6 linked regions of the Cricetulus griseus genome follow. The protein of the gene in region 1 interacts with the protein of each later gene in a pairwise test. Links are inferred from orthologs where the notes say so. Each region holds a gene or a part of one and is shown on either strand. Other genes may lie near its edges. The genes, in order: Rbm17, Dhx15, Qrich1, U2surp, Ppp1r12c and Sf1.

The links.
Region 2: the proteins of Rbm17 (region 1) and Dhx15 interact in binary tests that used the Homo sapiens proteins (3 or more experiments, as listed by UniProt). The link is inferred for Cricetulus griseus from reciprocal best matches to the Homo sapiens genes RBM17 and DHX15.
Region 3: the proteins of Rbm17 (region 1) and Qrich1 interact in binary tests that used the Homo sapiens proteins (3 or more experiments, as listed by UniProt). The two-hybrid records come from large-scale screens. The link is inferred for Cricetulus griseus from reciprocal best matches to the Homo sapiens genes RBM17 and QRICH1.
Region 4: the proteins of Rbm17 (region 1) and U2surp interact in binary tests that used the Homo sapiens proteins (3 or more experiments, as listed by UniProt). The link is inferred for Cricetulus griseus from reciprocal best matches to the Homo sapiens genes RBM17 and U2SURP.
Region 5: the proteins of Rbm17 (region 1) and Ppp1r12c interact in binary tests that used the Homo sapiens proteins (3 or more experiments, as listed by UniProt). The two-hybrid records come from large-scale screens. The link is inferred for Cricetulus griseus from reciprocal best matches to the Homo sapiens genes RBM17 and PPP1R12C.
Region 6: the proteins of Rbm17 (region 1) and Sf1 interact in binary tests that used the Homo sapiens proteins (3 or more experiments, as listed by UniProt). The link is inferred for Cricetulus griseus from reciprocal best matches to the Homo sapiens genes RBM17 and SF1.

What each region holds. Positions count from the first base shown.
Region 1 is NC_048596.1:228,375,470-228,380,787, forward strand, and holds the start of Rbm17 (splicing factor 45), read right to left. Parts: upstream 3,319-5,318; 5' UTR 3,153-3,318; intron 1-3,152. UniProt on the Homo sapiens protein: Splice factor that binds to the single-stranded 3'AG at the exon/intron border and promotes its utilization in the second catalytic step. Involved in the regulation of alternative splicing and the utilization of cryptic splice sites.
Region 2 is NW_023276807.1:120,435,288-120,439,863, forward strand, and holds part of Dhx15 (pre-mRNA-splicing factor ATP-dependent RNA helicase DHX15), read right to left. Parts: intron 1,555-4,576; coding exon 1,119-1,554; intron 1-1,118.
Region 3 is NC_048597.1:216,711,228-216,715,803, forward strand, and holds part of Qrich1 (glutamine-rich protein 1), read left to right. Parts: intron 1-2,214; 5' UTR 2,215-2,235; coding exon 2,236-2,544; intron 2,545-4,576. UniProt on the Homo sapiens protein: Transcriptional regulator that acts as a mediator of the integrated stress response (ISR) through transcriptional control of protein homeostasis under conditions of ER stress.
Region 4 is NC_048597.1:204,089,733-204,094,308, forward strand, and holds part of U2surp (U2 snRNP-associated SURP motif-containing protein), read right to left. Parts: intron 2,839-4,576; coding exon 2,720-2,838; intron 1,271-2,719; coding exon 1,094-1,270; intron 1-1,093.
Region 5 is NC_048602.1:23,185,487-23,190,769, forward strand, and holds the start of Ppp1r12c (protein phosphatase 1 regulatory subunit 12C), read right to left. Parts: upstream 3,338-5,283; 5' UTR 3,250-3,337; coding exon 2,878-3,249; intron 1-2,877. UniProt on the Homo sapiens protein: Regulates myosin phosphatase activity.
Region 6 is NC_048596.1:52,990,921-52,996,062, reverse strand, and holds the start of Sf1 (splicing factor 1), read left to right. Parts: upstream 1-1,917; 5' UTR 1,918-2,237; coding exon 2,238-2,268; intron 2,269-3,770; exon of another isoform or gene 3,771-3,775; coding exon 3,776-3,904; intron 3,905-5,142. UniProt on the Homo sapiens protein: Necessary for the ATP-dependent first step of spliceosome assembly. Binds to the intron branch point sequence (BPS) 5'-UACUAAC-3' of the pre-mRNA. May act as transcription repressor.

The sequences.
Region 1 (5,318 bases):
GCTTTAAGTATTAGAAACCATTGTCATCTCTCGAGCATTTGATAGTTTTCTGTAACAGTTCATGAAATTACATCTTTACATCTCAGTAGATATGAAGAATATTCTTTTGACTTTCTGGTTTCCAATGACCTTTATGTTTACAGAACTGGACTATCATGGTAAAAGAATGCTTGCATAAATACTGATTACTTCAATTACGACTAATACAAGCTCCTGTGAATTCACCAACTAAAACAGAAGGCAGCACCTGGTCAGGAAATCATTAGGCTCCTCAAGCCATTCCTGTGATTTTCCCTGAATGCTGTTCTATCACTCCATTGATTTTTATCTTAAATAATTTGCCTGCAAAGAACCTTTTAAGGCATGTATATTTACATTTTGGCTATTTTAAGCATTTATGAATATACCACAGGTTAGCCATTTAATCTCCCTACAAACACAGCAAAACACTGAGTGAAGTTAACAAATACATTAAGGAGACTGTCAAGATCCAAACTTAAAATGGTTTGGTATCACTTACATAACACATTCAGTTCATGAAGTCTGATACTAGCTAATAAAAAGCAGCATTTTCTAATATTTAGACATAATACTATAAGAATCAAGACTCAAATGTAAATACAAACAGAAATTGGCCTTTATGATGTAAAATGTGTTAAGTGAATTCATGTGTGTCAAATGCACACAAACTATGAGCATCTGAGATTACAACCCTTCACCACTGTGCTCGGTTACTGTGTGTGTGTGTGTGTGTGTGTGTGTGTGTGTGTGATGCATGTATACATATTCATTCGGAGAACAGAGATGGACACTGAGAGTCTTCCACAGTCACTTTCCATCTACCTTATTTTTCTGAGACAGGGTCTCTTATCAAACTGGAAACTCACTGACACGGCAAGACAAGCTACCTAGTATGCCCCTGGGGACCTCATGTCTTGGCTTCCTCAGAGCTGGGATCATAGGCATGTACTCCTGTGGAGAAATTTTTACATGGGTGTTGGGGATCTCAATTTAGGGCCCCATGTTTACCCAAAAGCAATTTACTAAGCCATTTCCCGGTTCATTTTTTATGGCAATGTACCCTTTGGTCAGCCTACTTTATTGTATTTGTTGGGGTTCTCTAGACTCTAGAGGAACAGAACTTACAGAATGAATATATTCACATACATGAATTTATATAACAGACATAGAATGATAGAATAGCTTATAGGTGTGATCTAGCTAATCCAACAATGGCTGCCTACAAACCGAAGGTTCAAGAATTCAGAGTTCAGTAGTTGTCCACAAAGCTGAATGTCTTCGCTGGTCTTCAGTATACATTGTAGGCTCTAATGTCAGTGAAGGAATACACTTGCTAATGAAAGCAAGGGCCAACAGGCAGGGCAACTTCTTTTTTCCACATAGAGGCTGCCAGCAGATTAAAGTAGATCTTCCTACCTCAAAAGACCTGGATTAAAGGTGTGTCTCCCCACCTCAAAGATCCAGATTAGAAGTGGATCTTTCCACTTCAAATTACTTTATTAAGGGAAAAGAAAGTCCCTTTAGCTGGGTGTGCCCAGCCATTTGGGTTTCAGTTAACTCCAGAGGCAGTCAAATTGATAACCATCCCAAGCCTACCCCCTGGCAACATGAGACACAATCACTTTTTTTTTTTGGTTTTTGGTTTTTTGACAGGGTTTCTCTGTGACTTTGGAGGCTGTTCAGGAACTAGCTCTTGTAGGACACAATCATATCTTATACAGGACTTAAGGATAACTTTTTACAAAATTATTTAGTCCCCTCTGTCTGCAACTACGCCATCTTTGACAATTTAAATTTCCCATCAAAATTACCAAAATACCATAGGCCAGAGCCTATCAAAAACTAACTGGAGACATTGGTAACATAAGCACACAGGACAGCAGGCTTCACTACTGTTCTCAAAGACTCGTAGAATTACTACTGAAGTAAATTGTTCCCTGCTGGAGGGATGTGTGAAATGTAGTAACAAATAAGGGGTCAATAAGGACCCACATGGTAGAAGGAGAAAAGGGATTCCTGTAGGTTGTCCTCTGATTTCTACAGGTGGCTTGTCCTTGAACCCCTGAACTTCCTGCCCTCACCTCCCAAGTACTGGAATTCGAGGCATGTGCCATCGCCCCGGGCTAGATTATTCATATTTAAGTATAAATCGTTATCCCGAAATGCTTACAGCTCATCCCAGTATGTGTGTTCCGTATGGCATGATTCAAAAGAGCCACCTGTCGCAGGGAGACAGTCCTCATCGTTCTGATCACAAGCAGAATCTTAGGAAATCATACTTGCCATCCTCATGTATCCTTACCAAGGAGAATTTAATGTCAACGGTGCACCCTTCCTGACTTAACAAAGGGTGCTCAGCCCTCTGAATCATTCTTAACTGCCTTAAGCTGCAGAATACGGTGTTTTCGCTGTTGCTGCCTTTCCACTCCTGCACTTCTAATAAAACCCCTCTAAAAGTCAATAAACATCAGCTCCTCTTCCAGGTCTTTTCAGATTGTACTCCAGTTCTTAAAAATCAACCCAGGCCTGGGTTTTCAAGCCTGTTTCTTAAGAGCTGTAACTCTTGGAGAAGTAGGTCACTGAACTTGTAGCACCCATTCACAGCACACCTAGCCCAAGCAAATTAAGCTCAAAAACTAGGGGATGGACACGAACGCTAAAACTCCCCTTAATACAGAGCTGAGGATGCCGGATTTACAACTGCCTTTACCAGTCTAGGTGAGACACCGTCTTCAACCCTTATTTCTGGGGCTGTGGAAGGAAACAAGTTGGGGGGAAGGGTTGCCCCTCCACTCCTGAGGCCGGACGCACTCCGGGTTACTGGGGTCTAGCGACCCAACAACTTGGGTCCCGGACACAGGGCATGAAGAGAAGGTACGTTCTTAGTGTCAAGGCGATCAAGACAGATGGAGGAGATGTGGGTTGTCTGGCCGAGCACGGCAGGCAGAAGGGGTCCGCAGCGGAGGGCTAGGAACCCCTAGGCAGCTCGGGGTGTCGCGCCCGCATCCCCGTGCCCCTCACGGCGCGGCCTAGAGCCGCGGCCTCGCGTCCAGCTCATCCGTGGAGGCGCGCTCACACAAGTCTCCGTTCCGGATCAGACCGCCTGGCCAGGACGCCACGGCGCTACTCACCCGGCCTTCTGAGACGATTCTGCCCATGGGCCACGGCGGCGGCAGCGCGGAGCCCAGCCGCCCTGAGCGGAAGCCCGCCGACCGCCGGAGCCCGCCGCGGTGCCCACCCTCGGCCGATTCCGCAGGGTGATCCCACCGCGCGGGGTGAGAGAGCGGAGGCTGCCGGGAGCACACGTCTGCGCCTGCGCCTGACTCGAGGAAGCAAAGCGGCACTGCCCGGCTCGCACTGCACCCTGCCGACGGGAGGACTACACTGCACCTACCCTCTGCCCGCCTCTAATTTCACCATGAGATGTCGCTATTGGGGCACGGTTTTGAAATTCCGTGCGGTTCGTGACTTTAGAGTAAGAGGGTTGAGAATCTCCTATTAGGCTCTAGTTATTCATTCCCAACCTTTCCTTTATATACTAAAATCTGGGAATGAATCTCCGTAGGCGATATGCTGCAGAATGGCACTGTAAAACACTCTGAGATTAGGGCTTCAGAGAAGAATGTAAACGCTCTTTAAAAAAAAAATGAAGTGAAAGACAAAAGGAAGGTCCGAGAAACCCGGGCTTTGTGTAAGCGTGTTTCCCACATCTTTAGTTGGGTGTGAAAATTATTTGATACTGATGAAACTGTGGAGGATTAGATGGACCTCAGCACAAATGGACATACAAACATTATAGTCAGCTAAAATCTGATATACAAGAAACTGCTCAAATAGATCCTGAAGTTTCGTAATTGGAAAAGATGTACCACTTTATGGCTGATAATTATAAGGAAATCAGATAACAACACCGTATGCATGTTGATTTCTAGACAAAAGTTTTAAATGAAAATTTTAAAGCACAGGTTTTTTTTTTTTTTTTTTTTTTTTTTTTTTTGGTTTTTCCAGACAGGGTTTCTCTGTGGCTTTGGAGGCTGTCCTGGAACTAGCTCTTGTAGACCAGGCTGGTCTCGAACTCACAGAGATCCGCCTGCCTCTGCCTCCCAAGTGCTGAGATTAAAGGCGTAAGCCACCACCACCCGGCTAAAGCACGGTTGTTAATGAAGAAAAAAAAGGGGGGGGGGGAATCTATGCACTAAATAGCATAACCTCATTATTTACAGCAAACACCACAGGAAATAATAAATAGGAAAGAGGAATTAGTGTTTTCTTCCTCTCTCCCTCCCTGCTCTACCTTTCTCTTCTCCCCAACCCCCCCCCCACCCGCCAGGATGGGTGAGATTTTGTTTTTGTGGGGCTGGAGAAAGAGAGAAGTTATGAGCTCTGGCTGTTCTTCCAGGGGACCTTGGTTCACTAGCCAGTACAGCTCACCACCATCTGTAACTCCAGTCCCATGGAATCCTGGGATTGGAGCAATAGGCACACAGGTGGCATGCAGACCAAACACCTATACTCATAAAATAAAATAAAATAATTTAAATTAAGATTTTAAAATCAAATGACTATATAGGCTTCCATCTGTTTTGTTTGTCTGTTTTGACTTTGTTTGCTTGCTTGCTTTGTTTTGGTGTTTCTCTGTGTAGCCCTGGCTGTCCTGGAATTTACTTTGTAGACCAGGTTGGCCTTGAACTCACAGAGATCAGCCTGCCTCTGCCTCCTGAATGCTGGAGATTAAAGACATGCACCACCACCGCTTGGTAAACACAGGATTTTTAAATGAGAGGTTTTTTTTTTGTTTGTTTTGTTTTTTGTTTTTTTTTTTTTTTTTTAAATAAGGGACAGTTTGAGAGAGGTGAGCTGCAGAGCAAGTGTACAAGAGCACCCCAGCACATACAAGTCCCGTAAATTTTCCTAGCAGTGTTCAGCAGCCCCGGGTGGGAACAGCAGGAAGTAAATGGTAGCATTAATCAAAAATAGGACATTAATTAATCTGAAACAAAATATTAGCATGTCAGATGCTGCAGAAGAAAGCAAGACCAAGGGACATTTGGGGCCAGAAGGGAGATGGGTAGATCAAATGCTCTGGCATAAAAAATGGACAGGAACTGGAGGCTGGTGTGAAGGGGGCCAACAAAGGGCTGAGTGCTCAGAGGAAAACAACTTAGCTAAGGTGACAATTTGCCTAAACTTACAGTTTGATTATGACTTTGTGTAGTGTATATAATGATACTTTGGTTGTTCTTTTGAGACAGGGTATCTCTGTGTAGTGCAGGCTGTCCTGGAGCTCACTATATAGA
Region 2 (4,576 bases), on another chromosome or scaffold:
AAGTTGATATCTTCCCTAAGGAAAGAAGGGCTATTTGTTTACATGTATTACAACTATAATAAATCCAAAGCTAGCAAACAAAGCCTATGCCCAGCAAGTAAACAAGCCTGACAACTTGAGTTCAATCCTAAATACCTGTTGTCATGAAGAGGACTCGCCCAAGTTAGCCTGATTACCACCCATGTGCTAGGGCCTGGGCGCACCCATACCCCAACATATACATATGAATAGATGCAATAAAATACAAAAAACAAAAACAGGCTACATTATCTATCAACAGGGTCTAGTAAGTCATGGCTTCTTCAGTTTAAAAACTACAGGCAACTAATGAGACATCTGTAACCTTGTTTAGTACTATATGGGGCTGGGAAGGCAAGTGGCTACAGGTCACAACTAGAGACTTTGCACCTTTGTAGCATTTCTAATCTTTTTCTTTCTGTAAGATGGGATATCATGTAGACAAGGGTGGCCTTGAATTCAGAGACCTGTCTATCTGATTCCTAAATGCTGGAATCAAAAGGTATGAGCTAGCATTACTGGAAACTTCAATTTTTGACACTTTTCTTTCTTTCTTTCTTTCTTTTTTTTTTTTTTTTTTTTTTTGGTTTTTTGAGACAGGGTTTCTTTGTGGCTTTGGAGGTTTTCCTGGGAACTAGCTCTTGTAGCGCAGGCTGGTCTCTAACTGACAGAGATCCACCTGCCTCTGCCTCCCGAGTGCTGGGATTAAAGGCATGCGCCACCAATGCCCAGCTATATTTCAAATATTTTAACAAAGAAAACAACCCCAATGTTTCAGATCTCTCCACTCAAGCACTAGAAAACAAAGTTTGTACTCCTAATTTCTACTGTCCCAGAGTTTTCCTGCTATACTCAGAATAACAAGATGAGAAGATAGCAGTTATTTTCCTGTATAGACTAAGAAATCAACCCTCTTTACTAAAATAACACCCTAAGTCACTAAAAAGCGTTCGCCAAAGAACTCTTCTTCAGGATATTCTACACGACATACAATTGCAAATGAACAGAGAAATAGAAAATGACTATCATGACCAAACCAGCACATTTAGTTAAATTTAAACACTAGCATAACATATTTACCATAGTATTTAACAACTCACCTGTGTTGTCTTACCAGACCCAGTCTCACCAACCAGTACAAATGACTGATGTCTAACAAGAATATCTGTAAACCTATCCTTGTATTCCCAAACAGGGAGCTGAAGCCGTTTCTTTAGAATATCATAATATCGAGGCGTATGGGGCAGGTTAGTAAACGGATTAATGCACTGTGGAAGTGATGTGTGTCCTGCGTGCCCAGTGTGTGTTGAATGGGCAGAATGTGTAGAATGTGTTGAATGAGCCGAGTGGGTTGAGTGAGCTGAATGAGAAGCTTTTAGAGGAGGCAATCCAGCACTGATAAGCATAGCGTTGGTGGAAGCTCTCAATTCTTTTTCCTTTTCTTTCTCCCTCTCCCGTTCTCTATCTCCTCTATCGCGTTCTCGGTCACGATCTTTAGATCGGTCTTCTCTATCCCGGTCTCTATCCCGGTCTTTCCTGGAAATATAAAAATTTAAAAATCAGAGTGATTATGTGTATAACATCTCAACGAATTATTAGAAATGATCGGATTTTTCATGCACCACCAAGAAAATTCTTTACTAGACAAGGTCTCTAGTTCCATCCTTCTAAAACCTTAATAACTGATAGGAAGACCATCAAAATGGCTCAGCAGATAAAGGTTTGAGCCTAAGCCTGACAGTCTGAATTCAATACCCAGAACCCACATGGTGATAGGAGAGGACCAACTCTTCTCAGCTCTCAACACAAGATGTAATATAATAAAACTTAAAAAAAAAAAAAAAAAAAACCAAGTCAGGCACTCAGGAGGCAGAGGCAGGTGGATCGTTCACTATAAATCTATACACACCTTGATGAATCAAAATGAAATGTAGTCAAATTAAAAACAAAGTTCACAGACTACAGAACTGTTGTAAAAATTAAGTAATTTCTACTGAACTAAGGATAATTTTAGTCATTTCTGGTATCTACAACAGATAATCCTAATGGAGTAAATTCAACTCATATATATATCACAAAATGCCAAGAGGTTTTCTGACCTGGACTAAAACAATGAGGCAATGTGGAGACAACAGAAACAAACCCCTAAATCTGTCATTGCTCTTTACTTACAACACATAAAGTTCATTTCCTGTGACACAAGTATCTGTACAGTACAGCAGGAAAGCGCATTCACTCTCCACAGTCTTTTAGAGGAGAAACAGTAAAAACCTTAAGCAGAATACAACTAAAATGCTTACTAAACAGCACAGAATGAGAATCGTTCAGCCACAGCACTGGTAAGTTGATAATTGTATCTGATTCTGTTCATAAAATATGGGACTCTATTCCATACAAACTTGCAGGGAAGAAAAGCCCTATTAGAATGTGACTTCTCCCATCCTAACTACCCACTACAGATTTATGAAAAATACAACATAAAGCTGAAATAAATCCTCACATGCCACCCAAAACCCAAAGAAATCAAAACTATATAGGTAAAAGATTACTTAAGAACTACAAAACAGCTGGGCATTGGTGGCGCACGCCTTTAATCCCAGCACTTGGGAGGCAGGCAGATCTCTGTTGAGTTCGAGGCCAGCCTGGTCTCCAGAGTTGAGTGCCAGGATAAGCTCCAAAGCTACACAGAGAAATCCTGTCTTGAAAAACAAAAACAAACAAACAAACAAAAAAGAAATACAAAACAACAACAACCAGGCCATAGTGGTACACGCCTTTAATCCAAGCACTTGAAGGCAGAGGAAGTTCTGAGTTCAAGGCCAGCCTGACCTACAAAGAGAATTCCTAGACAGCTAGGACTGTTACACAGATGAACCTGCCTAGAGACAGTCCCCCAAAGGAGGGAGAGAGGAAGGGATATAAGTCTTAAAATTTCAAATTTGAGCCTTATCTTTGAAATATATCACATTCATTGCTACTTTTGCTTCTCATTTAAGTGCTCTTTAACTGGGCATTGATATCAAATCAAAAATGTAAGTTTATAAAGCAAAGAAAGACTCAAACAGCTCAAGGACTGGATACCTTTGCAGGCCTAGTGATTTGGTGGGTAAAAGCACTTGCTGTGAAAGCAAGAAAACCTGAGTTCAAATCTGTTAAATTAGGCATGGCCTTGTGGTGCCTGTAACCCAGCATTGGTGAGGGTGGATCTTCAGAGTTTGCAGGCCAGCCTAGCTGAAAAAAAAAAAAAACGGTCAGCTTCAGGAAAAAAAAAAAAAAAAAAAAAAAAAAAAAAAAACAGCTTCACAATCAGCAGTGTCTCAACTAACTGGGCAATGTATTCAACAGGGGCAGGCATGAGCACACGCATGCACATATACACACACAGAAAAGTTTAAAAAAGGGTTTACATTTGTAGCTATCATTTTGTTATAAAGTACAAAAAGAAACTGAACAAGCATCTTCCATATTTAAGAGTATGGAATCAGTTAAGATACAAACCTAACCTTTCCAAAACTACAAACCTGGGTGAAGAGATACTACACAAAGCAATCCACATAATGTTATGTGAAAAATTAACACCTACACTAACACACACCTTTTCCAGGACACATTTCACCTACAGCTTCATTACTATATCAGAGAAAGAAATAGAATACAAAACACAAGGATTCGATGACGAATAAAGTGAGAATTTAACATCACCCCCAAAAAAGAGGGGCAAGGCAACCAGTTGAAAAACCACAGAAAAGGCCTAAAACTCAGCAAAGTGATGAAGAAAACATTTGGGATGCAGAAAACTACTTCAATGGTCTAGTTTTGCAGTTCACACTAGCTACTCTGAATGACAAAGGTAAGTTTTTAAGTCCCTCTCCAAGCATAGGTAGACTTGTCCATATGCAGCTTCTTGTTTAAAAAGGGCACTTACAAAAAGTTTTTCTCATAAGAATTTGCTAGTTAAGCATAACACTTTTAATTTTAAAGAAAATAAAAACAATACTGGTGTGGAAGTACACATCTTTAACCACAAAACTTGGGAGACAGAGGCAGCAGGCTGATCTCTGGTCTACACAGTTGAGTTTCTAGGATAACCAGAGCGATGTAGAGAAACATTGTCTCAGAAGAAAGACAAAGCAAGCTCTAAATAGTTCTTTAGTCAACACTATGACATTTATCAAGAACAGTCAGTGTTTCCTTGCTCACATGCAAGTTTTGTCTATTGATACAGAACTAATAACATTAAATAAGCTAATACTGGGATAATGTTCTCTGGCCTATCTGAACTGTACCAACGAATACTGGTTACTGCTGATGGCTCAGTTTAAATTGTACATGGAATAGTAACAGGCACAAGTATATTGCCAATAAAGATGTAAACTAGTCATCTACATCAGAGTATTTTATATAAACACTGCTTTTTCTGACAATCTCACTTTCAGAACTTCTAGGCACGTGTTAATATATACATATACACACAGATGCTAATGTTTTTCATCTACAAAATAACAAAACCCTGTGAAGTTACTTAACATTATTGAGCAAGACAGGAGCTGCACCTATG
Region 3 (4,576 bases), on another chromosome or scaffold:
CAAGGGCAGCCTAGTCTACCAAGTGAGTTCCAGGACAGGCTCTAAAACAATACAGAGAAACTCTGTCTCAAAATAAATAAATAAAATAAAATAAAAATAAAAAACATGCCCCTGGCTCTTTGTTCTTGCTAGATGGTATACATAACTAACTCTGTACGATACCTAGTAGTGGAAATAAAACATTAATAGGGCCAAGTGGCCAGCTTAAGTTACATAGTGAGACCCTGTCTCAAAAAGCAAAGAAAGACATGTCAATAAGTATCTGCTCCTTACTCCCCTCCCCTTGTTTGGTAGTCTTTTTTGTGATGATAAGAGAAGCAGAGTCTCACTCTGTAGACCTGACTGGCCTGTAATTTCCTATGTAGACTACATTGGTCTGGCTCCCAAGTTCTGAGACTAAGAAAGGTATGTGCCACCAGGCATGGCAGTGAGTGACTTTGCTTGCCACATGACTGTCCTAATTCTTGTTGTAGAAGGGATGTGATTGGCCTGGTACTGGATGGAAAATGTCATTTCAGCCTGTTCTGTCTAGTACTTAAAGAATGTGTTTTGAGTTTTGTTTTAGTGTGATAGTTTGGTTTAAGAAATGTGGAAGGGAGCTGAAGAGATGGCTCAGTGGTTAAGAGCACTGGCTGTTCTTCCAGAGATCCTGAGTTCAATTTCTAGCACCTACATGGTGGCTCACAGCCATCTGTAATGAGATCTGGCCTGCAGGGATACATGCAGGCAGAACACTATATACATAAAACATAAATAAAACTTAAGGGAAAAGAAAAGAAATGCTGAAGAAAGGCATATTACACTGGCTTATACTTGTAATCCCAGCACAGTGGTTAAGAGCACTGGCTGTTCTTCCAGAGATCCTGAGTTCAATTTCTAGCACCTACATGGTGGCTCACAGCCATCTGTAATGAGATCTGGCCTGCAGGGATACATGCAGGCAGAACACTATATACATAAAACATAAATAAAACTTAAGGGAAAAGAAAAGAAATGCTGAAGAAAGGCATATTACACTGGCTTATACTTGTAATCCCAGCACTCAGAAAGCTGGAGGAGGAAGACTACCTTAAATTCAAAACCAGCCCAGCTACATAGAATTGTAGATGTGTCTATACATTATCTTGTATGTATACTACTGATAATAATGAGAAATCTAAACATTAAAAACAATACCGCCAGGCGTTGGTGGCACATGGCTTTAATCCCAGCACTCGGGAGGCAGAGGCAGGTGGATCTCTGTGAGTTCGAGACCAGCCTGGTCTACAAGAGCTAGTTCCAAGACAGCCTCCAAAGCAATACAGAGAAACCCTGTCTCGAAAAACCAAAAATAAAAAAATAAAATAAAAACAAAAATACCTCACAGAGGCCAGGCATAGCACTCTCAAGGCAGATGTAGGTGAATCTCTCTGTGGGTTTAAGGCCAACCAAAACCAAAGGTTCATGGTGAGATCTTACCTTTTTTTTTTTTTGAGTTTTCAAGACAGGGTTTCTCTGTAGCTTTTTAGACCAGGCTAATTTTTTGTTTTGTTTTTTGAGACAGGGTTTCTCTGTAACAGCCCTAGCTGTCCTGGAATTAGCTCTGTAGAGCAGGTTGTCCTCGGACTCACAGAGATCCACCTGCTTCTGCTTCCCAAGTGCTAGAACTAAAGGCGTTTGCCTCCACTGCCTGGTATAAGATCCTATCTTGTAAACAAACAAAAAACCCTACAGTTTATTTTGGGGGTAGGGAAAGATGGTATAATAAAACATTTATTTGGAATATACACACATTCCATTTTCACTGTCATTGTGTCTGTGCATTTCAAGACACATAAACAGTGGGGTTTGCCTGGCATTGGTGACACATGCTTTTAAGCCCAGAACTCGGGAGGCAGAGACAGGCGGAACTCTGTGGTTTCAAGGTCAATCTGGTATTCAAAGAGTTCCAGGACAATCTCTAAACCTTCAGAGAAACTCTTGTCTGGAAAAAACAAAAAACAGTAGAATGGTTGGTAAGATGGCTCAACAGATAAAGCCATCTATTGCAAACCCGATGACCTGAGTTTGATCCCTGAGATCCACATGGTGGAGAGAACCAACTCCAGTGGGTTATCCTCTGACCTCTACACGCATGCCTTGGCATGTGCATGCTCCCCTCCCAATAAATCAATGTTAAAAAAAAATCAGCAATGTTAACAATAGCAAAATGTTGACTGTCCATTTTAATTCTAGGAACCCTAAGGACTCTGCAATATGAATAATTCTCTGGAGAACACCATCTCGTTTGAAGAGTACATCCGAGTGAAGGCGAGGTCTGTCCCGCAACACAGGATGAAGGAATTTCTGGACTCACTGGCTTCTAAGGGACCAGAAGCTCTTCAGGAGTTCCAGCAGACTGCTACCACCACCATGGTGTACCAACAGGGTGGGAACTGCATTTACACAGACAGTACTGAAGTAGCTGGGTCTTTGCTTGAACTTGCTTGTCCAGTCACAACCAGTGTTCAGCCACAAACTCAGCAAGAGCAGCAGATCCAGGTTCAGCAGCCACAACAGGTTCAGGTAAGAGAAAATATTTAGTTGAAGCCTGTTAGTAAACTTTTCTCTCACAGGTTTTGGTAATTACAATATACCTATACAGATATTAGAAATGTTGGAAGTTATTTAACCAAATGGGGAATTCTCCCCCCTCCCCCCAGGGTTTCTCTTTGTAGCTTTGGAGGCTGTCCTGGAACTAGCTCTGTAGACAGGCTGGCCTCAAACTCACAGAGATCCGCCTGCTTCTGCCTCCCAAGTGCTGAAATTAAAGGTGTGTACCACTGCCCAATGGGGAGAATCATTCATATTTAATGTGGATTGATGATATCTTTGGTCACAGTAAACTATAAAAACTGCACAGTAAACTAAAAACTGTAGGTACTTGCTGTTTGCTTTAGAGAGCACAAACTACAGAAAGTAGAGGCTAGCAATGAATTTGGATGTGACAACTTCTGTGATTGGGTCTTTCTTTCTTTCTGTGGACAGTCTGAGCAAAAAGCACAGAAAAGCTAGTTTTGGCTCATTGTGGAAAGTGGCATTTGGAACTTGCTTTAAAATTAAAACTGATATGGTGATCTTAATTTAGCTTATACATCTCAAATAACCTATAGATTTCTAGGTTGGCATTTTTTAAATATTTATTTATTATGTATACAATATTCTGCTTCCACTAGAAGAGGGCACCAGATCAGATGGTTGTGAGCCACCATGTGGTTGCTGGGAATTGAACTCAGGACCTATGGAAGAGCAGTCAGTGCTCTTAACCTCTGAGCCATCTCTCCAGCCCCTAGGTTGGCATTTTCTACCTGTTAGCCTCAGATAATGCTAACATTAAGCTTACTCAGAATGGAGGAATGAGCTGGGCGTTGGTGGCGCACGCCTTTAGTCCCAGCACTTGTAGGCAGAGGCAGGTGGATCTCTGTGAGTTTGAGACCAGCCTGGTCTACAAGAGCTAGTTCCAGGACAGGCTCCAAAGCCACAGAGAAACCCTGTCTCAAAAAAAAAAAAAAAAAAAAAAAAAAAAAAAAAAAAAAAAACAGAATGGAGGAATGAATACAATGGCTGATGAGACAAAGTTTTTCTTTTTGGGGATCTCTAGATGAAACAGTAGTCTCCTCCGAGTAGTTTTCTTGGCATTGTATTGTGGCAGGGTTTCATTTTACTTGGGATGCATGAGTGTGAGGGTGTCAGATCTCCTGGAACTGGAATTATAGACGGTTGTGAGCCCCCATGTGGTGCTGGGAGTTGAACTTGTGTCCCCTGGAAGAATAGTCAGTGCTCTTAACTGCCTAACCATCTCTTCAGCTCCACCCCCCCCCTTTTTTTTTTTCTTTCACTTTTTAATTTTAGAGAAACTAAGTTTCCTGAGGAAGCCAAGCTGGATGGGTCTGCTTACTTCAGGTTCCTGAGTAGCTAGCATTACAGATCTGAGACAAAATACAGCTTTAGGGACTGGGTACCTACTACTTCCGGATGTGTGCCATGTGTTTATGCACTCCTCTCCCCCACATCATATACTCAGGATAATAATTTTATTTATTTTTTTGTTGTTTTTTGAGACAGTGTTTCTCCGTGTAACAATCCAACTGTCCTGGCACTCGCTCTGTAGACCAGGCTGGCTTTGAACTCAGAGATCTGCCTGCCTCTACCTCCCAAGTGCTGGGTGCACACCACCACACATGACGATAATAATATTTTTTAATTTAAATAACTTTTCACTTATTTTACATACCGACCACAATTTCCCCTCCCGTCCTCACCACCCAGTCACCCCCCCATAATTTTTTTAAAATTAATATTGTATATAAATACTTGAAGACATATGTTTTGTTTTTGTTTTGTTTTGTTTTTGTTTTTCCGAGACAGGGTTTCTCTGTGGCTTTGGAGACTATCCTGGAACTAGCTCTTTAGACAGGCTGGCTTCAAACTTACTGAGATTCGACTGCTTCTGCCTCCCTGAGTGTTGGGATTAAAAGGCGTGCACCACCACCACCCGCTTTGAAGATATAATTTTATTTAGTTTTGTTTATGAATGACATCAGATTCAAACATTGGC
Region 4 (4,576 bases), on another chromosome or scaffold:
TTTGGCTACCAAAACTGCTTACACTCTTACCTGGCTTAAAATGAGCTTCAAGTGGGCATGTAAGTCACTAATAAAACAGCAAACTCAAATTTACTCACACAGATTTATTTTGTACTTACCATTTATGTGTGATCAGAAGGATATTTGTTTAAAAAGAAATTTCTGAGTTTTACTATTGCTTTATAGAGAATGTGCATTTTTATTAAGTTCCCCAGGTAACTGATACCCCCAAAATTTGAAATTGTAATCCACAAGATAAAGTTCAAGGTGACAATTAAGACATTCACACAATTTTAAAAGCACAAAAGCTGTACACTCTGTAATTTTGAGGGGGAAAAAACTCCTACTCCAGGTCATCATTTAAAACAACACAATTTTTTGTTTTTTGTAGGCCTAGCTGGCCTCTGCCTCCCAGGTAGCAGGATTAATGTCATCTGCACCCCATCTGGCGCCAGTAATTTTGCTAAGTTCTGTTCATGAAAGTTTCCCAAACAAAAAAAATACACATACATATACACCTCCACACACATATGAGTATGTATGGTCTTAAACAGGAGAAAGACTTCACAGCAAATGGTTACAATCACGAAGTATTAGCACATAAATTCAGGTGCAGCTCAAGAAAATTTCCCTCTGTGACATCAAATACATTTATTTAATTCCACTTTTGTGGAATTAAAAGGCTTAAATAAAACAAAATATCAAAGTGCATACTGAAGAGCTGATCCAAATAGTATTCTATTTCCTTACCCACACACTTACTTCTGTGGGGTAGATTATTCCTTTTCATCAACTTTGACAAAATCTAAGGCTATTTATTATACAGAAATAAAGACTAGAATGAAAAAGGAGCACCCCATTCCCAACAGTGGACATGTGAAAATCCTTGGCCAGTCTTTAACTTGCTGGAATTATTCTATACTTGAAACATGACAAAAACTGGAATGGGAATGAGAGATAACCCAAAATAAAAGTACATTTCTCTGTTTTTCTGAAATCTTTAAAAAAAAAAAAAAGCCAACCACATTATTTCCAAAGCTTGTAGAACTCTTAGTTAACTGGTGACGATAACAAAAGGGTGACTTGCATTTACCTTTTGGCTTTCTTGCTAGCATCTCTAGGAGAATCTTTGTGAGATGACCTGGACCGTGAGCTTTCTTTATGAGATCTTTCTGACCGTTCTGACCGTTCTGATTTTGGTGATGGGGATTTCACTCGCCTACCACTGCTACTCCGAGATGGGCTGGGAGAAGTACTGTGTCGCCTTTTCCTACAAAACAAACCACATAAAACTCTGTAAGTGACAAAAAAAAAAAAAAACACTTAAGTATTCATTTTTAATGTCTACTCAATTTGCTCCTAATCACTCCTAGCTTACACTAACTTAACTCTCACTATTCATACTAATGCTACTTCCCAATGACATTCGATGTCCCTTATTTCATCAAGTAAATCTTAAGACAGCATGCCCAAAAAAATAAGTGAATTCAATGAAATTCAATTTTCTTTTGCTGTTAAGAGATTACTAGGAAGACAAAGAAAACCTGACATTCTGAATTGGGTTACAATGGAGGTTTATTTTTTCAATGCTAACTTCTTTTTATTTTTTTTCCTTTTGGTTTTTCCAGACAGGGTTTCTCTGTAGCTTTGGAGGCTGTCCTGGAACTTGCTCAGGAGACCAGGCTGGCCTCGAATTCACAGAGATCCGCCTGCCTCTGCTAACTTCTTAGTGTGGCACTTTTAGTGAAATTACATGACTCAGGAAACTGGGCTCTATACTGACCAATTATAGTTAACAAGTTGGAGGTGAAGTAGAAAGGGAAGAACTAAAAAGAAAAGTAGAAGCACTTTAGGAGGTGGAGCAATTGGATGAAAAGTACATGGGGATTATTTACAACTTCTATAAAACTGAAATTATATCAAAATAATAAAAGACAAAAAAGTGCCATTTCTTTGTTAACCAATCTGTATAATTTTGCTATTTATAAATATACAGAGTGATTAAGCCAGGTTTCTCATTTGCAACCACTTGGTGTTTATAATGTGGAAAACTTCGATTCTGTTCACTGAAGTAACTGCTTCACTACATTAGACATTTAAAAACTATAAAAGTAAGAAACACAGTCCAGTGAGGTGGCTCAGCAAGTAAGAACACTTAACCTGACTTTATCCTTTGGAATCTACATAGCAGAAAGATAGAACCAACTCTCACAGTTGCCTTCTGACCTCCACAAGAGCACAATGGCAGGTACATACATACCCTCACACAAAATAACATTCACACACTAACTAAAACATTAAAAATATGAAACTTAAAAAGTTGGAACAAAGGACTTAACATGATTAGCAAGTCACTGTAGCTTGTACACACAATCTCCTTCAAGACGGAAAAAGGATGCTTAGAGTAGAGTCGACAGGCAGATATAGCAAGTTGTTATTTAAGACATAGGGTTGATACTCGATAGGGTAATTGAATTCCTGCAGTGAATTAAGGCTAAGAATACCATATGAACCCAAGTAAAGACATGATGTCCTAATTAGTTAGGCCAAGTGGCAACTAACCGAGCCTATCAGCTAACTCTGCTTCCTAGAGGCAGAAGCCAAACATGTTTATCGTGAAATCCACTTCTGGTTTGTTGCTACTGATGACAGAAATAGTTTAAAACCAAACAGCACTTCAAATCTTGAAACAAAGCAGATTAACTATGACACGCCATACCTTTCTTTTCTTGTTGGAGTACATTCATCTTTCTCCTTCTTGTCTTTGGATCGAGATTCCAATTTTTCTTTATCTTTTTTGTCTCTTTCACGTTCTCTTTCTAATTCTTTCTCCTTTTCCTGTTTTATTTTTTAAAAAAAATATTGAGTTGTTTCTTAAAAATGTCATCTAGACTATCTTATGTATCTAATCATATTTTCTCATTTAGAAATTTTTAAAATAGTAATTAAGGTAAGATATCATTTTCAAAAATACCCTTTCAGGCAATAAGCCATTTTTTATATACAAAATCATCATCACCCTTCTTGTGCAGCAGCAAAGTATTTACTGAGGGCTGCTAATCACAGCCCAAACAAGACAGTTACAATTTTCCATATACCATATCATCCTGTGATCTTTTACATTATTATCACTCTCAATCTAGACAAGAAAACCAGACTCAGAAATGACCATGGTTTACCAGAGAAAATCAGGAATTCAGTCTAAGAGCTCCTATCCCTTCATCTCTACCACATCAAAATGAGGAGGGGAGGGGAGGGAAGGAAGGAAGAAATGAATCAGGAAAAGCTAGCAAGCAACACACTGACCTTCATCAGATTGCAAGAACCTAGTTATAAAAGCAATTCTGCCTGTATATAGCAGGTTCACTAAATGGAGTTCTCACCAAAGTAATTATAAAAGGAAATGTAATCCTAACTTACAAACTGATTATATAGTAACATATTTATATAAACCAGAAAAATAACTGCTTATTTATCCCTAGTTGTCCTAACGAATATTTTTCAATAAAAGTCTAATTTCTAGGGGGCTGGAGAGATAGTTCAGTGCTTAAGAGCACTGGCTGCTCTTCCAGAGGTTCTGATCTCAATTCCCAGCAACCATATGGTGGCTCATAACCATCCATAATGAGATCTGATGCCCTCCTCCAGGCATGCATGCAGAACTCTCTATATATAATAAAACTTTAAAAAAAATTAATTTCTATTGATGGTAGAATAAAGTAGTGGCTAAAGATATTTATGATTGGCATGCATCAAAAACGTTATCTAACTGCTGCTTCTCATTTTTAAAAAGTAAGAAAATCTTATAACTAGACACAGGCAAACTTTTTACAGAGCCAGACCAAACACACTTGCGGGTTATATACAGTCCTTTTAACAACTACTCAACTGTATTTATGCAGCAAAAAAAAAAAAAAAAAAAACCACATAGACAACACTTAGGTGAAGAGGCATAGCTTGACCTTCAGCATGGGCCTGGCAGAAACAGAATCTTGTCTCCAATTAACACTCATGGAATATAGGGGGCTAAAATAGTAACTGACCTAGTTTTTAGTTTGTTGCCACTGAGATGCACAGAGCATTTCAACATGTAAACTTCCATAAACACTACTAACCTGATATCATCACCAAAAACACTCAAAAGGGTACAGACAACTAGTACCATTTTAAATAATGTAATTTATCTTTTTCCCAAATACATCACAGAATACAAATCTAAAGAGATACAAAGGAGACCAACTTCTCTTAACGATGTGCAGTATACACTTTCCTGAATGAAAAAAATTATTTCTTGACTGACTATACATTTTATAGAAACTATAATTACAATTAATCTATTTTAAACATTCTGATTTAACACCACAGAGCAACAATAACATCAACCCTAACTATGATCTATTAGAGAAAACTCCAATGGTACACAACAGAGAATGGTATAGGATTCCATAGGCTAGCCCAGCTAGCTATACAGTCACTTTACTAGGCAGTTTCCTGCCACCCATTCTGTACCTGTAGGCTCCTGGGCATACCTTTTTCTTGTTTGATATTGTTACTATCACTGCAATGATGGCCAAGG
Region 5 (5,283 bases), on another chromosome or scaffold:
CTTCTTTTCTAAACACCCCACACCACACTAATCCCCCACCTCCTCACCCTTCGAACCAACAGCTCAGGAGAGGAAGGCCTCACCCTAGCCAGCACAGCACCCAGGGCCACAAGAGAGCTGGTCTCAATCCCTGATGACACTGCTTGGACACTGGAACCACTGAGTCTAGGGAGGGGGTTAGGTCCGGACTCCTGGTCCTCATGAAAATTAACCCCCTTCTACAAGCGCGACCATCTGGAGAAAGAGGGAAGGAAGCTACGAGGGCCAAGTGCATGAAGTCATGGAAATTTAGGCTGGGGGGGGGGGCACGTGCCCTGGGAACGGGATGAACTCTGGGCTTCACTCTGGGCTCAGTTTATTTCCACCCTGTTGTCATGGTGATGGGAGGGGGGGCAAGGAGGCAGATGGGCCTTTCCCTTTCAAGGACCTGGCCGGGTACGGGCATCCATGTGAAAGATGCCTGAGGCTGGGCACTGGGGACCCAAGAATCCTCCTCCCTCAGATGTAGAACTCTAGCCAATCCTCTTTCCTTAGACCCAGGGATCCAGACTTGGCCCTCCTCCCTCAGGCCCAGGTGCTAGGGCTCCCCATCTCTCCCCTGCTCAAACCTAGGACTCTTAACTCCCAGCCCTACCTACTCCAGACCCAACTCATAGCCATTATTGGACAAGGCAATTACTGGACAAGGGAAAGAGGAAGGAATGTCCCTGCCGTGCTAAGGCAGAGGCTGGGGCTTAGGAAATGTCATTGCAGGAGGCTGATGCCTCAAGGAGGGTCTAGAACCGGAAACACTAAAAAGTCTGAGGTGTAGAAATCACCACAGACTGGGTGAATGAATGCCCCTGCTTTCCTGGGACTGAAACTAGTTCCAGGAGTTTTCACTGCTGAAGCCAGGGCAGTGGTACTAGGAGGTGATGCTACGTACGCACCACTCCAAACCCCAGCCCCCTCTGCGTTCTGGCCCTGAAAGCCAAATGATCTCACTGAATCTGATCTCCAGTCTCCCAAGCCTCCTGCAAAGGCCTGAAGAGTCAGGTCACCAAGGTGTCTGCATGGCGGGAGGAGAGTCCCACCTGGAAGGCTGACACGTCAGGCCTGAGGTCACAGGTTCCTGTCAGAGAGGATGCTCTAGGGACCTCCAGCAGATGCAGAGGAAGGGGATGCAGTTGGGAGGGAACGCTTGGGAGGGCCAGGGACTTTGGTGATCAGACGCTGACACCCTGAGTGTGGCCTCGGGAAAACAGGACCCTGCTATATATAGAGGACGATGTCCCACACAGCTCATGCAGGTCCCATAAAGGAAGTTTTCCACAGGACACCTCTCACCATAGAGTCCCTCTGGGGACAGGGGTGACCACTGGTCCCATTCTACAGGTAAAAAAACTAAGGCGCACCGAGAAAAGACACTCAAGATACAAGACACAAGAAGCAGACTGACACAAAAAGTCAGCACGGACTTTTTTTGTTTGGTCAAGATTTTGCAACTGAGTTTCATGTGGGCTATCAAGATGGCCTCAAAGTCACTGTGTAGATGAAGGTGACACTGAATTCCAACCCTCCTGCCTCTACTTTCCAAGCACCTGATTTCTGTGGTATTGGGGTTGGAACCTGAGGCTTCCTGCACTTAGGCAAGCACTCTGTCTAAAAGACAGCCCAGCCCAGGACAGACGGATTCTGTTTTTCCTCTGCCTGGATGAGTGAAACACTGAACCTTTATTCCCCACCTCCACGAGAATCCTAGCAAGAGGAGGGCAACCCAGGAGATGGAAGTTGCCATGAAAGACTGAAAGTGAACCAACACTGTGGCCAGGAGGAGGAAGAACGGGGATGGGGGCTCTGCTGTGACTAATCTTGTCCCTGACGATGCCAGCTTTTGGATGACGGGGAGATAAAAGCATCCCGAATCCAGAAGGATCCCGGCAATACAAGATGGTCCTCACTCTCGGGGCACAGATCACTGGAAAAAGATAATCACAGTGTCTGAGTCGCCCAGGGTCCTGGTGGGGTAGGTTCTAGAAGGTGACAGGGTGGAAATCTAAGAGACAGGGCATAGTTTTTAAAGCAGGATGCTGCCCAAATATAGTCCATGGGGTGGTAGGTGGAGTGGGCATGCCTGTAATCCCACAAATGAGGGGGTCAGAGACACAGGACCTGTATTTGAGGTTGGCCTGGGCTACACAGGGGAAAAAACAAAAAACAACAACAAAAACAAAACCAGAGGAGCGAGAAATAGGGCTTGGAAGACCGAATGCTTAGAAGTTTCCAGAAAGGCAAATCAATGTGGACACAGAGAAAGAGAGACAGAGAGAGAGAGAGAGAGAGAGAGAGAGAGAGAGAGAGAGAGATGAGGAGAAACCTATGGGGGGTGGGGGTGGGTGGCAAGATCACCAAAAGGGGATGAGCCGAGAATTGAATTAATAGGACATGGGGAGGGGAGGAAGGTTATGGGATGGGGCCCAACAGACGGTGGAGCGCCTCTTCTCCAGGGGAACAAAGGGGTACACTGCCTTGGAGGGGCAAAGGACCCTCCTGAGGCCACAGCGGACAGCACGGGTCACAGGAAGTGGGGTAGGGAACAAGGTGGACCCCCCAAAGAAGTGACACTGAAGGGCCTGGGCCTGGCTAGCCTCGGAGGAGGGAGTGGGGGGGGGGGTGTCAAGTCCGAGCTGGGCCCTGGAAGCCTGCGGCACAGCCAGGGCAGCCACCAGCCTGGAAAGGCTCGGGGTGTAAGCCATCCGTGTGCGGAAGACGCCGCCGGGGAGAGCGGTGACAGCGCGGATGACAGGGGCGAGGCGGCCCCTGCAGGGCAGGAGGCGGGGAGGGAGGAGGGGTGGCTCGGGGGGCCCCGGGGAGGGAGGATGCCCGGGGGCCGCTGACCTGGTGCAGGGCGCTGATGCCGTCGGCGTTGGTGGAGTCGAGCACCGCTCGGGCAGGCGGCGGGACGCCGGCGTCCGATTCCCCGCTGGCGCCGGGATCGGGGCCCCCGGGGTCCCCGGGATCCCCGGGGTCAGCTGCGCGAAGCATCAGGCGAGCCTCATCCAGATCGCCGCCCGCACAGGCCGCCAGGAACTCGGCGGCGCGCTCGAAGCGCACGGTGCGAGCACGACGCTCCCCGGGGCCCGGCTCAGCCCCCGCCCGCGCCCCCCACCGCCGCAGCTGCTCCTGCCGCCGCTCGCGGGCTGCCGCCGCCGCCGAAGACGACGACGACGACGACGACGACGACGCCCCGGGGCCGTCCTCGCCCGACATCGCGCCCCACACCGGGCCGCTCGCCCGCTCACCCACCGAGCGAGCGAGCGAGCGAGCTGAGCGAGCGCCCGCCCGAAGGCCGGCCGGCGACGAACAGCCGCCACCCGCCCGCTCGCTCGCTCGCCCGCCCGCCCGCCAGCCCCGGGGGCCGCCGGGAACCGCCGCCGCCGCCGCCCCGCCACAAGCACCGCCCCGAGGCTCAGGCTGGGCCCCACCCCTCCCCCCCACGGACGGGCGTTGACGTCACGACGCTGCCCCACAGCCCTCTGGGAAATGGAGTCCTCCGTTGAGAAGCCCGCAGGGTTTTTTCAGCAGACTCGCTAACTGCTGAGGGAACGGTCGGGGTGGCACGGAAGCCGCCAGCAGGCGCGCCTACAGCCCCCAGCACCTTAGAGGCAAACTGCTCTCTCGAGTTCGAGGTCAGCCTGGGCTACAGAGGCAGTGCCAGGGTAGCACCAATTGCCTAAAGCAGGACACGCCCCCCCCCCCGGGAATGCTGGGAATCTGAGTTTAGAGGCGGGACGGGATGCCCGGGGGGATGCTGGGAGGTGTAGTTTTTTTTGGTAAAGCGGCGCAAAGGATGGCGCGTGGGAAATGATGGCGTGTAGCGGAACCCGAGAGACGCAGAAATAAGACTCGCGTACTTTCAGTTGTGTTTTTGCTGTGAGATGGGTTTGCCCTCGAGCTCGCTGTGTGACTGCGATTGTCTGTTTTAAACTCCCGACCTTCCTGCCTCCGTCTCCTAATTGCTGGGGTTGCAGACGTTTGTTTGGGTTTTGTTGGTTTGGTTTGGGTTGGGTTTTTTCTTGGGGGCGGGGGTATTTTGTTTTTTTGTTTTTGTTTTGAGACAGCGTCTCACTATGTAGCCCTGCCTGGCCTGAAACTCGCTACGTAGACCAGGCTGGCCTCGAACTCATAGAGACTCCTCCCCCCACACTTCTGCCTGGTATGAAGGGGGCGCCACCAGGTCCGGCTTGTTTTGGTTTTGTAATCTGCCCCTCCCTCCCCATCAACACCCGATGAAGAAGGACAAGGATTTGTGAATGAATGAATGAATGCATGAGTGCATGAATGAATGGGCCCCCCAAGACGTCGGGGAGACCAGAGGCCCACGGGAAACTGAGTCCTGAAACCAGATTAAACACCAATCGCCGCCAAACTCCTCTGGGTAACTAAGGTTCCCGTGCAAAATCCAAGGGTATCGGGTAGCATGGGGCAAGCTGGGAAATGTAGTCCCAGGGCCACGCCTCCTAAAGAGTTCAGCCCCCAGACTTCCAAAACTGCCTGAGATGCCAAGGTACCCCGGAAAGTCAGTTTCCAGATGAAGACAAGCCTCCGGTCTCCAGCGGTAATCCCTTGAGCACCCGGGAAGAAGGGTCCCCAAAGAACCACACACTTCTCCTTAGCCCACTCGGGGCTGCGGGGGACGCTAGGAGATGCTCTCCCGGCTGCATCAATGCTCTCCTGGAATTCTGGGATCGGTAGCACAAAATGTGATGCTCCGATAGGTTTGGAAGTTTTGTTAGTAGACCCAACAGATAAAAGAACACCTTGATCTTTCAAGAATCTTCCCCCACCCCCACCCCCAAAAAATGCAATTTGAGAAGGACAGAAACACTTTGAGACAGGAACACAGACTCACACACACACACCAAAGTAAAACAGAAAGCTGTCAAGTTTATAGAGAGAAAACACACGTCTGCTTAAGGGTCGTTAGGGCAGCCTAACTGTGACCCTTGGATTTGTGAATGAAAGATAAATTACAGACCCTGGCAGAGTCTAGGGAATAACGACCATAAATCCAAAAGGATAACCCTGTGGTTTTTAAGATGTGAGATCACACACACACACACACACACACACACACACACACACACACACACACACCATTCTTCCCCAAGGCAAGAAATCAGATATTTCAACCCCTGGGGTCCAGAAGGAAGGAGATCGCTGACTCCAAAAACTGTCTTCTGATTTCCACCATGGATTTCCACACACACACCCTATCAACACACACACTAAATAGATGTTTAT
Region 6 (5,142 bases), about 180 Mb from region 1:
GGCGTGTGCCACCAATGCCTGGCCCAGTTTTAGTTTTTAAAATTTTTGATGTGTATGGGTGTTTTGCCTGCATGTTATGTTTGTGCACCACCTGTGAGCAAGCAGTGCCTGAGGTGTTCAGAAGAGGGAGTCTCGATCCCTTGAACAGGAGAGACATGTTTGTTAGTTGATATGTGGATATCAGGTCCTCTAGAAGAGTAGCCAGCGTTCTTTACTGAGCCATCTCTCTAGCCATTCCTCTACTTAGTCTTGAAGGCTTCTGTGGGTATTACAGACATTTGGTTTTTCTTCTATTTTTGCAGTTCTAGAGGTAGAATCAAGGAAGTTGCATGTGATATGCAAAAGCTCTACCACTGATGTGTATTCTCAGGCCAGACATTTGCTCCTTCTCTGTTGCATGGCAATTTCCTCCCTAATCTGCCACGACCTGTTGACTTGTACCACACAGCATACTTGAGTTTCTTGTCTTGAGTTTCTTGTCTTGAGTTTCTTGTCTAGATTCCTAGATTACCCCACATCTTCTAAATTGTCTACGTGTTTTCAGATTTTTTCTACATCATTTTTAAAATTTTGTCTAATGTACATGGGTATTTTGTCTGCATGTAAGTCTGTGTACCACATGCATGCAGTCCCTGTGGGGCCAGAAGAGGGCTTTGGATCCCCTGGGGCTGAAGTTACAGGTGGTTGTGAACTGTCATGTGGGTGCTGGGAATTGAACCCAGTTCTTTGGAAGAGCAGCCAGTGTTCTTAACTGCTGAGCCATCTCTCCAGCCCTTCTACATCATTTATTAAACATCTTTCTCTCTACTGGGTTGAAGTAATCAGCTTTGTGATTATCCTATTCCCAATTATATTCTGTTGTGTTACTGGGTTTTCCTGCAAAAAAGTTGTTTCATTGCTCTTATGTTTACTTTATGAGAAGGCATTTCCATGGTCATATACTTTTAAGGTAACTTAGTCAAATTCCCAACACACTGATTACGATGGAAAAAACTTTTGAATTGTTTCTAAGAATGACTGTGAGCTCCTGATTTTTCTTTGCAAGAGCTAAGATTGCAGGCATATGGCACTAAGCCTGTTTTTTTTTTTTTTTTTTTTTGGCACAGATATACTCTATCCCAGGATAGGCCCCAAATCATGGCAGCTCTCCTGTCTCAACCTCTCAAATACTCAGGTGGCCACCTTGTCTTTCATCTGAGGTTATATGGTTTGTTCTATCACTTTAGGTATTAATTTCTTAGAGATCCGCCTGCCTCTGTCAACAGAGTGCTGGGATAAAAGGCGTGCACCACCAACGCCCGGCACTCGCGGTGGCAGAGGCAGGACAGCCAAGGCTACGCAGAGAAACGTCTCGAAAAACAAAACAAACAAAAATAACAAAAGGACCCAAACCAAAAATTAAGCCACAAACAAAAAACTACCCTATTCCGTAACTTTATTTTTCTAAAGAAAACAGGAAGTTCTCTACCTGCGTCGCCGACGTATCCGGTTCATTCACTCGAGCCCGCCCATTGCCCGCGGCGGTTCCTGGTTACCTCAGGCACAATGACTAACGTCACTTACAGCTTCCGCTCCCGCCCCGCTGGTGGAGGGACAGAGGCCGCCGGGCCTCACCACGCATGCGTACCTCCTGCTCCCCGCCTCCCCCGATCTTCCTTCGGGCTTCTCCTCCGGGCTTTCTCGATTCCCGAGCAACTCGTCCCCGGGGAGCGGAGTCGTTTCAGCCAATCCCGAGGCATTACGACGCCGAGGAGCGGGACTCCATCAACTCCAGCCAATGAGCTAGCCGTTCGCTCTACGTCATAGACTTTGCCCCACCTTAATCTCCGCCCCTCCGGCCTGGGCGCTCAGTCCGCGCAGTAACAAATGAGGTGCGCGCTGCGACACCTCCCAGCTCACCCGGCCCCGCCGCCATTTCGTCGCCTGGCCTAACGGTTCGGCCAATCCCGACACGTATCGAAAAGGACTAGCGCTCCACCAATCGGAGGCCGCTGCCTCCGACCTCACCTTGGGCCGGCCCAATCCAGGCCCCGGTCCCGCCGCCCTCAGACCGCCCCCGCGGCATCCTCTCTCCTCCCTCTTTGTGCGTCTGGCGCCGCCGCCGCCCGCCGCGTGAGAGGACTGGCTCCCCGCGCTCCTCGGCAGCGTAGTCGGGTCCCCTCCCCCCCCGGAAGGTTCGCGAAGGAGAAGCCGCCGCCGAGGACGAGGAACCGCTGGTGCCGGTCCCCTGGGGCGCCATGGCGACCGGAGCGAACGCCACGCCGCTGGGTAAGCTGGGCCTTTCAGGCCTTCCCCCCGCTTTCTGGGCCCAAAGGCGGCTTCGAGCCGGGCCCGCTGGCGCCTGGGCCGCTGCCACCGGTGGGATCGCTGGGGGCCCTGACGGCGGCCTTCTTGGTGGCGTCGCCGCCGCCCCCGGCCTGGAACCCTCCACTGCGGCCGCCCCCGCGCCGCCGCTCTTCCAGCGAGGGTCGCCTCCGTGCCAGGACCAGCAGCCGGGCCCGTCCGGCGGCGGCGGCGGCGGCGGTGGTGGCGGTGAGTCGGGCCGATAGAGCGCGAGGAGCGCCGCGCGGACCGGACCGGAGCGGCCGGCCGGCCGGCGGAGGGGCACGCGACCGAGGTTTCACGCGGCAAGGACGCGAGCGCGAGCGCGTGCACGGGAGGCCCGGGCGGACGCGCCCCAGGGTACGCGCGGCCTGGTTTGGGAAGCTCCGAGTGCGCATGCGCCCTCTGAGAGGAAGACGGGCGGGAGGAAGCGTCCATTGCGCAGACGCAATGAGGCGTTCAGGCTTTGTGGCGCAATTCTGAGGGCTTGAAGAGGCCACCTGTTGCCCCTTGAGCTGGTGTATACAGGAGAGTGTAAGAAAGTCCACGTAACGATGTGGTGTGAGGGGTCCCCCTTACGGTTTTAGGAACCTGAAAGGGAGACCAGTCCCGTGTCAAGAGTGTCTCTTTTTTTTTGCAATAAGGCCAGTTTGGAAGACTTGTGGTGATGCTTGGGTTCGATTTTTCTTTTTAAGGCTGTTTATCTCTTTTTGTTTTCTAGAAGGTTTTGAGTGACCATCTTTCCCCGTGCTGATTTAAAAGACTTTTCCCCTGGCCTGTAATCCTGAGAAGTAGAAAACCTTGTGTGGTAAATGTAGGGAAGAATTGGATACATCAGAGTTCTGATGACAGGTGTCCACTGGTCAGAAAAACTGAATGCTGGTCTTGCCGTGTGAGCATGGTCTTACTGAAGGATGGGACGTTTCACTTAGTGATATGTAGGAAGAGCTTTGGGTGTTGTTTTCCTTTGGAGCTAATCTGCTGCTTTGTAGATCTGATTGTCCAACTTTACTGCCGTTTAGAGCTTCCAGAATTGATGTACATCTCCTTAGAACTATTAAGAATTGGAAGCAAGGGTGCAGTGGCTCATACCTTTAATCCCAGCAGAGACAGGGAGACAGACAGAATAGGTGTGCTTCAGTAGTGTAGAGCCTTTGCCTAGCATTTGCACGACCTGGGTGTTCCCAGCACCACAAGAGAAAATTTGTTCCTTGTATTTACATTCTCTAGCAAGTTTTCCCAGGAAAAAAGAATATAAATGTGAAGTGTTCATTAACTTCTCTGACAGGACCAGATACCTTTATGTCTGCTTGTATTCCTCTCTGACCTCTGAAGCTCCTTTCTTTTTAAATTTTAGGTGGATTTCTGTTTTAGTCTTAATTGTCATGAACTGCCTGTTGGTAGTCACTCTCATGGTTCGTGTTTCCTCCTGATGGGCTCTGTCTGTCTTTAGACTTCCCAAGTAAGAAGAGGAAGAGGAGCCGGTGGAACCAAGACACAATGGAACAAAAGACAGTGATTCCAGGCATGCCCACGGTTATCCCCCCTGGACTGACTCGGGAACAAGAAAGAGCTTATATAGGTAAATACACGTTCTGCATCCAGGTGCATCTTCAAATTGTGACTGCTTATTCTGAGGACAAATCTATTGAAAGTCTGAGGTTTTAGTTTTGGGACAAGGTGTGATCAGGTGTGCTTTTTATAGCTTTGGTGTAAACTGTGATTTGCATGGCCAGTCCTGGATTTGTAACTTGTTTGGGCCTGCTCTCAGCAGCACATAGGCCTTACTAAGCAGCCCACTTCTCAGCTGCTCTTGCTCATTGATGAGGTGCATGCTTATCTGCCTCTCTGGACAGGCCCCAGTGGAGAACACTGCAGGTATTTGTAAACCAGGTGCCTTTTTTGTAACATGGCCTTTCATCATAATGTCATGGTTCCCTTTCCCTAAAATGTGGTTTTGCTTTTTTTTATAGGTTACAAAACAGTTCAAACAAAAAGTGGCTCTGAAAGTATTTACAGCTCACCCATTTTTACTGTTTTGTTGAATTTAATCCTTCCCTTCAGCATCTTGTTTGGTCTTTAGAGAGCTGTCTTAAAAATAAAAGCTCTTAGCCCGTTGGTGGTACACGCCTTTAAGCCCAGCACTCAGCAGGCAGAGACAGGAGGGTCTCTGTGAGTTCAAGGCCAGCCTGATCTACTGAGCAAGTTCCAGGACAGGCTCCAAAACTACAGAGAAACCCTGTCTCAAAAATAAATAAATAAATAAATAAATAAATAATGAAGGCTCTTGTAAAACCACGAAAAAACTCTACTGGGAAGGGTTTATTGTTTGATTTGAAATGAGGTGGTGGCAGGATTTTAAAAATTTAAGTTGAATTGAAATTAAACCTCAAAATTACTTAGAAACCAAGGTCATTCATACAAATTATATATGTCTGTCCAGCTGTCTTAAAAAGTACACTTGATAAACATTTTCAACTAACCAAATAAACATCCTCTTTGGGCAGAAACCTAGTGGGTCCATGAAGCTGTGACCTTCACAAACATAGCTTCAGGGCCAATGTGGTCTAAATCTGGAGGGTCTTCATTTCCTGGTTTTTAGATTGCTGAGAATTTTAAGGCGTTGGAATTGTCTTCTTGTCACAGTACTACTAATACTACTTTTTCTCACTGTTGCTGTTTACTCTTATCCAACTCTTAGGTGTCATTAGACCAGTGTTGGACCTTCCAACCTTATAAAATGCCCCTAATGGTATCACAGCCCAAGAACGTAGAATCTGAGAAACACTTAATACTTTACAACTCTCTTTTCCTCTGGAG